Saccharomyces cerevisiae S288C: one gene and its partners. The main gene of each other region encodes a partner of the protein of the gene in region 3 in a complex. Each region holds a gene or a part of one and is shown on either strand. Other genes may lie near its edges. The genes, in order: PCC1, KAE1 and GON7.

Evidence for each region.
Region 1: GON7 (region 3) and PCC1 share a complex: the UniProt entries of both Saccharomyces cerevisiae proteins name them as parts of the EKC/KEOPS complex.
Region 2: GON7 (region 3) and KAE1 share a complex: the UniProt entries of both Saccharomyces cerevisiae proteins name them as parts of the EKC/KEOPS complex.

What each region holds. Positions count from the first base shown.
Region 1 is NC_001143.9:624,078-626,917, reverse strand, and holds PCC1 (chromatin DNA-binding EKC/KEOPS complex subunit PCC1), read right to left. Parts: upstream 1,055-2,840; coding exon 1,017-1,054; intron 942-1,016; coding exon 713-941; downstream 1-712. Other genes in the region: ESL2 (Esl2p), read right to left, coding at 1-125; MLP1 (Mlp1p), read right to left, coding at 1,486-2,840. UniProt on the Saccharomyces cerevisiae protein: Component of the EKC/KEOPS complex that is required for the formation of a threonylcarbamoyl group on adenosine at position 37 (t(6)A37) in tRNAs that read codons beginning with adenine.
Region 2 is NC_001143.9:511,560-515,159, forward strand, and holds KAE1 (tRNA N6-adenosine threonylcarbamoyltransferase), read right to left. Parts: upstream 1,601-3,600; coding exon 440-1,600; downstream 1-439. Other genes in the region: SPC34 (Spc34p), read right to left, coding at 1-238; amino acid permease GAP1, read left to right, coding at 3,504-3,600. UniProt on the Saccharomyces cerevisiae protein: Component of the EKC/KEOPS complex that is required for the formation of a threonylcarbamoyl group on adenosine at position 37 (t(6)A37) in tRNAs that read codons beginning with adenine.
Region 3 is NC_001142.9:81,203-84,319, reverse strand, and holds GON7 (chromatin DNA-binding EKC/KEOPS complex subunit GON7), read right to left. Parts: upstream 873-3,117; coding exon 501-872; downstream 1-500. Other genes in the region: MNN11 (alpha-1,6-mannosyltransferase), read right to left, coding at 1-252; ATG36 (Atg36p), read left to right, coding at 1,344-2,225; alpha-1,2-mannosyltransferase MNN5, read right to left, coding at 2,405-3,117. UniProt on the Saccharomyces cerevisiae protein: Component of the EKC/KEOPS complex that is required for the formation of a threonylcarbamoyl group on adenosine at position 37 (t(6)A37) in tRNAs that read codons beginning with adenine.

The DNA of each region.
Region 1 (2,840 bases), on a different chromosome or scaffold from region 3:
CGTACCAACCTAGGGAAGGATGGAGTGGCAGATGGCCGCTGCTGCTGTGATGCAGACAGAAACATCGAACGAGTATTTTCATTTTCAGAAAGCCTTAATGGATTCTGAACAGAGGTTTCTGGCATAATATAGTGGATTGTGAAACTCCTTCGGTCTATATATGAATCTCACCCGTCTGTAACTCTGGATCTAATTTGTTAGTCGTTAAGCGTTGATGATTCAACCAATATGCACCAGGAAAGAAGGAAATCAATATAAACAGCTGTTCCTCAAATTTAGGGAAAAAAAAAACAAAAAAGCGGAAATTTAACAGCGATGGGAAATAGGCCAACACCAAAGCTCTATATCCTCTTTAAAAAAGACGTCTGAGTTGATATTTGCCAAAGCTTTTATTTGTTCTCTCTTATCTTACTCCAAGGGCCTAGCATGACTTCTACAATCCAAGAAAAACGCCAAGCGCCGTCACCCTTTCATATTAAAACTTTCTGCGTTACCCAGCTAATGGGAGTAAATAAGGCCTCATCTACCATCCACATGCTTGCTTTACTCAAAGCAAACAATTGTTTATTTACACGCAACCCCAGGACATTTAGCAACTATACCTCTCTTTATTTTTTTATCTTAATGCTATTTTAAATATTTAAGTTATGATGTGCATGAATGCCGTCTAGATACTTATACTATATGTACACTAATACGGTGTTCTAATTATTTATGATAGAACGTCCATGGCTTCCACAATGGTTTTGATACTGTCTATGATACTGCTAACTCCCACTCGAAGCACCCTATCATCAATGCTTCTGAACTGGACTAGCATGACATTTTTCTCGGAACTGTAGTCTACTTGAAAATCTTGTGGCTTCAAAATCGGGTCCGGAGATAGGACTTTGGTTGCTATGGTCGCTTGTCGCTCCGTTTCAAACGGTATCTTTAGTTCTCTAATGTTTGGAAAGTTTAAATAGTTAGTAAACTATGCAGTGCGGTCTTCCCATTGAAAAACTGCTTCTACTTACAATGTGTGATCCAGTGACTTTTCCCGTTTGCTTGTCATCAATTTTCTTAGCTGTCTATGTTGGCAGACTTGTTTCAGTCAAGTTGATCTGGGTTCTTCCACCATTCATATTATTTTAACTTAAAGGACCAGCGGTGTCGCTGGAGTTTTCGCGAAGACCTACTTTTTTCTCGTTTGGTGGGTGGAACAGAGATCGGAACACTAAGAAAATCTGTTTGGAACATTCAAAACACAAACCGTAAGATTCATGATTCCATTTCCATATATAGAGGATTCTGTGTTTGGAGTATTAAAAAATCGGCATTTGAGCTATTTACGTGACTTCATCTTAGCTTATACATATATAAACTTTATGAAACAAGAATGCTGTTGTACGTATATTACAAATGGTCTTGACATAGGGCAGAATGAAGCTCCTCCACATTGAAAAAGGTTTAGTTTGTATTGATCCCTTGTTTTTACTATCTCCTTTATATACTGTTCTCGTCATTCACCTTATCGGTTTCTTTTTCTTCCTCATCTTCAGTCTTGATCTTTTTTGACTCATTAATGTTTTCTGTAGTGTCGTCTTCATCATTTTTCAGCTCTCCTACCTCATCAATAGGTCGCTTGTTGGATTTCGTCTGCTCTTCTATTGCCTCTCCTCTTTTAACAGGTTCTCCCTCTTTCTTTTTTTCTGTATCCTCTTCCGATTGAACATTTCTGTTCGATGAATCCTTTTGGGCAGGATTGTTGCTAGTAAGTTCTTCATCATTTGTATCAGTTGACAAAGTGGAAGATGAAGATATTAGACCCCTTGAGGCGGGAATGTTGAAGCTGGGTTCCAAATGAGTTGGTGGATCTGTCTTGTTAGCCAACGACTCCCTTTTGTCATTATCATTTTGTAAGTGCTTATTTGGGGATGGCGAGGTAAAAGGGTTAAATCCACCTGATGAAGACTTAGAATTTAGCTTTAAGAGTTTTTCACCGGAAAGTAACGGATTGAATGGTGAATTTGAATTCTCTTCGATTTTCCTAGGTAATCCTAGTAATGGATTTTGTACATTGTTAACAGATTTCGGAGGACTCTCGGCACTTTGTTTTGTTTCTGACAATTGAGATTCCATCTTGGCAAGTTTTCTTTCCAAAAGGGTAGTTTTCATCATTGCTTGTTGCTTTCCTTCGTCGAAGGATTTCTTCTTTATGGCTTGCAGTTCATTGTTGAACTCCTCCCTCAACCTGCTTTCGATTTCTGCTCGTAATTTGTCCCTTTCATCATCTGAGATATGACTTGAGTGTGGTACATCTTTGAGTTCTTCTTGTAATTTTTTGTTATACTCGTTTTCCAATTCCTTTTGTTTCTCTTGAACCTTAGCTTCTAGCTGTTTTCGAAGCACCACGTCTATTTCTCCAGATTGTTCCATTGATTTTATTCTCTCCTCAACCTTTTCTTCAAACTCTTTTTCCAATTCCTCCTTCTTTCGTTCGATTATCTTATTAATTTTCTCCTCAGTGGGTAATCTGATTCGCTTTTTGAGGGCTTCCTCAGCTTCGCGAATCTTTTGAGATACTTCCTGTTCGTGCTCAGATTCCCATTTTTTTTTAATCTCCTCCATATTGATATTGGAAGGTTGATTTAGCCTTTCTTGGGCCTCGAGTATTTTTTCATTAACTTCTTGGGTTTTTTCTTTGATGAATTTGATTTTATCTTCTTCAAAAGACTTTTTCATAGACTCAACTATGTTAGATAAGTCATTTTGTTCATTTGCAGATGTAGCTTGTAACTGTTGCTGGATTTGCCTTTGTTTTTCAATTTCTTCTTTTAATGTTGTAATCTCTTCATTTA
Region 2 (3,600 bases), on a different chromosome or scaffold from region 3:
CCTTGCCGTCTCTACGTGAAACGGATTGTTTCTCAGGGTTGACTTTGAACAGAAGATACGCCTCGTCGTGGTTACAGTCCTTTATTAGTCTAGTAATGTCTTTTCTAATGCTTGCCTTGTTGCTTGCTCCCTGTAGGATGGCATTATGAAAAATTCCTGGTGGCTTGAAATAGAGTGTGGACATAGAGTCCACCGCCCTATTAATATCATCTATACATCTATCCAAGCTTTCCCCCATTCTGTAATTGCCACGTCTTATTTTGTTAGGTGATGATCTAATTTTTTTGAGCTTTGTTTATTGATTATTTTCAAATGTCTCTTGCTTATTTTCGCGCTTCCACAAGGTTATACACTGAGCTGTAAATGTAAGGTGTATGGCATATATAAATATATATATATATTCGTAGTGTGAACATTAGGCTAACTGTAACAAAAATCGTTAATCACGCCAGGCTGCGTATACTTCATCGGTTCTGAATTTCTGCGTAACAACAGTTTCAGAAAAGTCCTTCACGATCCCACCCATTCTATACTCTAGTAGTCCTGCTTGGGCAATCATAACTCCGTTATCGATACAAAACCTATTATCTGTAGCATGTACTTGCCCATTGGCCCTGTCTTTACACATTTGCGCCATCATTTCTTGTAATCGCACGTTACAACCAACACCGCCTACGATCAAAACTTGATTGGAGTTAACGTGAGCCATAGCTCTTTCTGTTATTTCAACTAGCATGGCGAATAGGTTCTCTTGCAGAGAGTAGCAAAGATCCTCTACAGTGACTTTTTGCTCGCCCGTTGTCTTGTCGAATAGGATCTTATTTTTCTTATTGCCCTTAAATAGATCCTTGGCAAGTAAATCGATGGAAGCCAATATACCACTCATCGAAAGATCCATCCCCTTTACTGTATAGGGAAGTTCTACCAAGTTTTCTTTGTGAGGGGCTTTTTTAGCTAACTGCTCGATGTTGTAGCCAGGCGAGGGCTCATTAGGTATCTTCAGAGTTCTTGCAAATCTATCAAGACAATTACCGATAGCAATATCAAGCGTTTCACCAAAGATACGGTACCTTTTTTCCGAGTATGCAATAACTTGTGTATTTCCACCACTTACATACAGTACCACAGGATTTTGAGCTTTAGTGATTTCTCTCCCCATTTCGATGTGACCAATGCAGTGGTTTACTCCCACCAGTGGCACGTCCCACAGTAAGGAGCACGTTCTGGCGGCGATGACAACTGAATGCAGAGGGGCCCCCATGCCGGGACCTTTGGTAAAGCAAATTACATCAATGTCTAGTGTCGGGCTTTTGATGTCAGCTTCGGCCAGTGCTTGTTTTATGAGTCTTATGCACCAATTTCTGTGATGCCTTGCCGTGTCTCGAGGCAAAAATCCCTCCCCAGGAGGTGTGACATATGTGTCTCTAATATTAGAAAGCATCTCAGCTTCGCAATCATAAGATAGATCGCTGTTGGCATGTTTAGGCAGAAGCGGATGCTTAACTATACCAACGCCCAGTTTATTTGCAGAACCTTCAAGTCCAAGCGCAATGTAGTAGTCCCTGCCATTTTTGGGTGGGATAGTGTTCAAGTTGACCATTTTGCTCCCGACTGCATTAGGGAACGCTTGGGAATTCCCTTCACGTAAAAGATAAATATATGCATCGTTGCACGAAGTAAAAATGGTTACTCTCGAACTCATCATAATGAAAGAATTCAGTTTTTCCGTATAAAGCGATATTACAGGAGGAATAAAAAGCAAAATAAAAAATCTCCGCGACGGGGAATTGAACCCCGATCTGGCACGCGACAAGCGCCCATTCTGACCATTAAACTATCACGGAACGTTATTTGTTGGATTTTTTCTCTTAGTTTTAAATATTTATATTTCGTCGAATTGGTACCTCTACAGCTCAGAAGCAGATGTCTTCAAGTTTTTTTATTGTGTCTAAATAAGAATCAACCATTATCTTGACAAATGGGTGAATTTTAAGATAATTGTTGGGATGCCATTGATGATAAAGACTATAATATACATACACAGAATATACTAGAAATTGTACTCGAGCACATAGGAATCCTCAAAATGGAATCGATATTTCTACATAATAATACTACGATTATTTTCTGCTTTCGTTTTATATGTTTCATTATCCTATTATATTATCAATCCTTGCATTTCAGCTTTCATTAGATTGATGACTATTTTTCAACCTTATGTCCTCTTCTTACACCGCATATGATAGTATACTAGCAATATGAATATTACTAAACAGATGATATTTCAACATCATGTTTTGCTTAGTAGACTCTTGCGGGCGTTCCATCCGTGTGAAATACATCATTTACACCTCGCTCTGGGTCAAGTAATCAAAAAATACCTCGTCGAATATCTTCGACAAATCTGTCGCTTGGTTTATGTTTGACCTGATGTATATAAAATCATCACTACCCAATTTAGAGAACACATTGCGTTGCCCGGCCGGCAAAAAATCCTGGGCCAAAAGTTAAAAGAAACTTTCTCATACTCACTCTGAAGTTGTACTATTACGAAGCACTAAAGCATTGATAGATAAATCAACACAGAACATACATGATTAAATTAGACACAGCTCTCTGTATTTTTTACTGTTTGAACTAAGGTTCTAATACTTACACATTCTTTTCAACCCATCAGATGGTGTCTTGCCCCTGCTTACGTAACCTACAACAATAGATTAGACACACCAGTGCCAAGGACAATATGTTGCGTTCTGACTAGTCGAAGTATCATTACGCTGTGCAGATCGACCTGACACCAGACACAAAGGAGAATAGGGGCAGCATGAGTTCCGTCGGCGACTCATTCCGACCTTCCACAGGTCCGTTGATTACTTTTTCACTGATCCGGTGGAATCTATGGTTGTTTTTTTCATCATGATATCTGTTTTAGGACTTTTTTTTTCAGCCGATCGCTTATCTGCTCACTAGAATCGTAATCAGTGATATTTTTATTAATAATTATTATTTATTTTTTTTTATACCATTTCCTTTTGATAAGGGGTCGTTGGTGCCGTGCCGCTATCAGGCAGCCTCACTAATCTACCCATTGACCTCATGCAGCAAAGTCACATCGCCCATATCTCTCGAGTGCGATAACGGGGAACTTGATTTGGTAACTGATAAGATTGTTAAATGTCAGTTTGGATGCTTTTTCTTACGTCCGATTAGCTTATCTTCTGGAGCAACCGGCCATTTACCTCCTCATAGTAAATTAAACATGATAAGCGCATAGTTGGGGCAACACACCTTTCTTCCGGAATTCGCTCTGGATGAGACATATAAAGATGAAGGTGAAGTCCACTTAAATGAATGTCAATGAGACGATGTTTTTTCTCCTAGATTGATTTTTGAATTCCTTGTATACAAAGTCTTGTTTTCTTATTGTCCTCAACAAAACAAAAGTAGAAAAGAACAGACCAAGGACAGCAACATTTATAAGAAACAAAAAAAAGAAATAAAAAATGAGTAATACTTCTTCGTACGAGAAGAATAATCCAGATAATCTGAAACACAATGGTATTACCATAGATTCTGAGTTTCTAACTCAGGAGCCAATAA
Region 3 (3,117 bases):
AATCAACCGGCTGGAGGCAGGAATTTCGTTAATATACAGCCCATGGGATGGAGAATATGATGCACCGGCGGAACGAGAAATTGGATAGAAGCGATTGGAGAAGAAATAGAGGATAAAAACAAAGGCCGTTATTATCGACAAAAATTTACAAGTTCCGTACTTGTTCTGCTTGAAACCAAGCCTGTTGAACCACTGCGAACCCACCGATCTTGAGGAGTACGTTTTGCCCTTCGTTCTTGGTTTGATTGCCATTTTAACGAGTCCTAACACAGCTAACACCAACAACAAACCGGCAGGATGATTCCAAGTTGAAAATTGGCTTTCTTCGCATCATTTAGGAGTCGATCAATCCTTCTTAACTGTATCCCATCGTGTGTTTATTATTTTTTTATATCAACTCTTCCTAGTTCAACAATTATCACTTGTAACGAAATATTTGTCATTTATCATTAGACTCTTTTCTGTTTGTATATACACTCTCTAGCGCTACATATCGTTGCCTAAACAGCATCTTCGTCACCGTCACCACCATCTAATAGCTGGTTAATCTCTTCCTGGATCCGCTTCTCGTCTGCGCCGGCTTTCTTCTTATTTTTTGCCAATTCCATTCTTCCTGTCAAAAACTCGTTAATATCGTCCTGTAGCCCCGTCAGCTGCGTGCGCAGCTGGCCTAAGTATGTCAGTTGTGAGCCATCTTTCGTGCGTTCCGGTTCTGAAGGTTTGTCTCTATCGATTTGGCCAGCGTTTAGCACATGGTCACTGGGCCCAGTTGTCCTTCCCTCTGTGGTCATGTATCGAGGGTCATCGCGTATTGGTGCAAAACTTTTTTCCACACCATCTGGTGCACTGTACTGTGCTACCGGTAGTTTCATTGAGATATTAGGATAAGGTTCCAGTGCACTATCGGCTGTATATATTTATTTAGCTCTAACTTGGTTCAGTAAAACTACCAATAATCAGATGGGATATTCTTAAGTTACTCATTACTAGAGATCCGGGTAAAATTTTTGACCTGACAAGGCCGTAACACTGGAAACAGGAAGATCAACAAAGAAACTAAATAAACACCTATCGTAGTTGCTAATATAGAGCTTTAAAAAATCACGCTCTGTGGTGCTAAGACACTATTCTATTGTGCCATCACTAGAGCATTCGCGTTAAGATACTTTCACCAAGATAAACATCGTTATACACGTACGATCTACGTGCGGCTGTAGCGTAATCCCGAATAATACAAATCTTTTGAAGGGATAGATTTCTATATACTTACGAATGTCGACAAGGAGCAAAGGTTGTATTCAGGGCTTAAAATACTAAAATTTGGTGGTCAGTACAGCTCATTAATGGCATCTGTGAACAATTACCAGGTTGATTGCGGGTCAAGGTCTGCTCGCATTCAACCCAGAATTAATAACGGCATTCACGATGAAGAATCGCTATTTGAAGTCCTGGAACTCTCAGAAGAGGAATTTGAGCTAGACTTCCATAGATTAAAGTCATTCAATGATGTAAGGGTTATCAATAACCCAGATTTATCTCCAGAATGTACAAATACTGCCATTAGTCGCGATGAGACACTGGAATCTGCAAGTAGTGCCTTCGAAGTTCCTTCTGACGAAATTGCTATACTGTCGATATCCAGTGACAGCAATAAAAATTCTCCGCCCTCAGAGCAGCCGGCGCCCGCTCTTCGTAACATTCGATCGTCTAGTAACTCTGACCGGATCGATGAGTGGTGTTTGGGCAGCCATTTATTTAATGAGCTGCATCAAAATGTCCCTCAATCAAGCGACGGTGTCAATCATGGATTTCCCGTTTATTCCTTTAAGGAAAGAGAACTTTATACCTCTGCGAAATTAAAGAAACTTACAAATGCCCAAAGAATTGCTGTGCAGAAACTATCAAGAGACTTGTATCCAATTCTAAGAACATGCTACCGCGAGAAAACTCGCCGGCAATTATTGACATACCATCATGAAAGAATATTTGACGATATACCATCTTTTTTCCCCCAGCGTGACTTTATTTTCAATTACTACTCGATGCCTCTTGAATTCGACAGGTTGTCAGACGTAGATATAGATTCGTCATCGCGGTCACGATTTACAGATGAGAGCACTGGAGAAACATTAAACCGTTCACCAAGCGCAGCGTCTTCGTCGTTGGAAAACACATCTTGGTTTGGCTGGACTTTACTTTCTAGGTTTTTGGACAGAGAATGGTAGAAGAAAGTTAGATACCCTCATTCTAAAACGTTGTCCGAACACCATCAGTTAGTTTTTTCTTGGTTTCATTTTTTCATTTTTTTCTAAGATGTATATATATCCGTGCACATATATGCTACATTATATTATACAAGGTCGGATGGCGAGTTATTATTAAATTATTATAGTTAATCACTTCATTAGTTTTTCTCCCCCATAGCTTCTTTGTGTGTGCTCTCCAGATAATTAACATGATTGGTCAAATACTCACACATTGCATCCCATTCTGGGGTATTAACTTTATCGGTAAAATACTTGAATTTAATAACTTGGCTTTTCGGAGTGGTACAGAAGGACCCCCTCATATCATTGAATAAAAACAATTCAAAATCCATTCCATAGCGATGCGGCTTCCTGAAGCCCCGTACTTGTTCGCCATTTGGACCGATAAATCTGTTTTCATGATAAAGAGTCCATGGATCTGCCTTGTAGAAACTGGCATGAATGAACATGATATCCAAATCAGAACCGTCATCATTAACCATCAAAGTTTTCAAGAAACCATTGTCCAAAGTATAATCTGGATCCAGTTTGGAAAATTCCTCAATGTTGGCTTTAACTTTCTGCTGCGCCTTTTGGTATTGCTTGTAATCTTGTTCAAAATCATGCTGGAGCAAGGCGAGACCCTTGTAATCATCTTTTTGATAGAAGAAACCATCAAATTCAAAGTTAGTCCTCACTTGATAGTATGGCATATTCAAGGCATGGGCAGCAGCGACGAAAGTGTCTTTGTCACCTTCACCGGCAGTGCCTTGAGAAATCATCTTATAATACCAGGTAGGCCCATAAACATTATAGTATAGCGCCAGTAATAGAGTGTTGAAATGGCGAATCTTATCAATCACCATCTGGC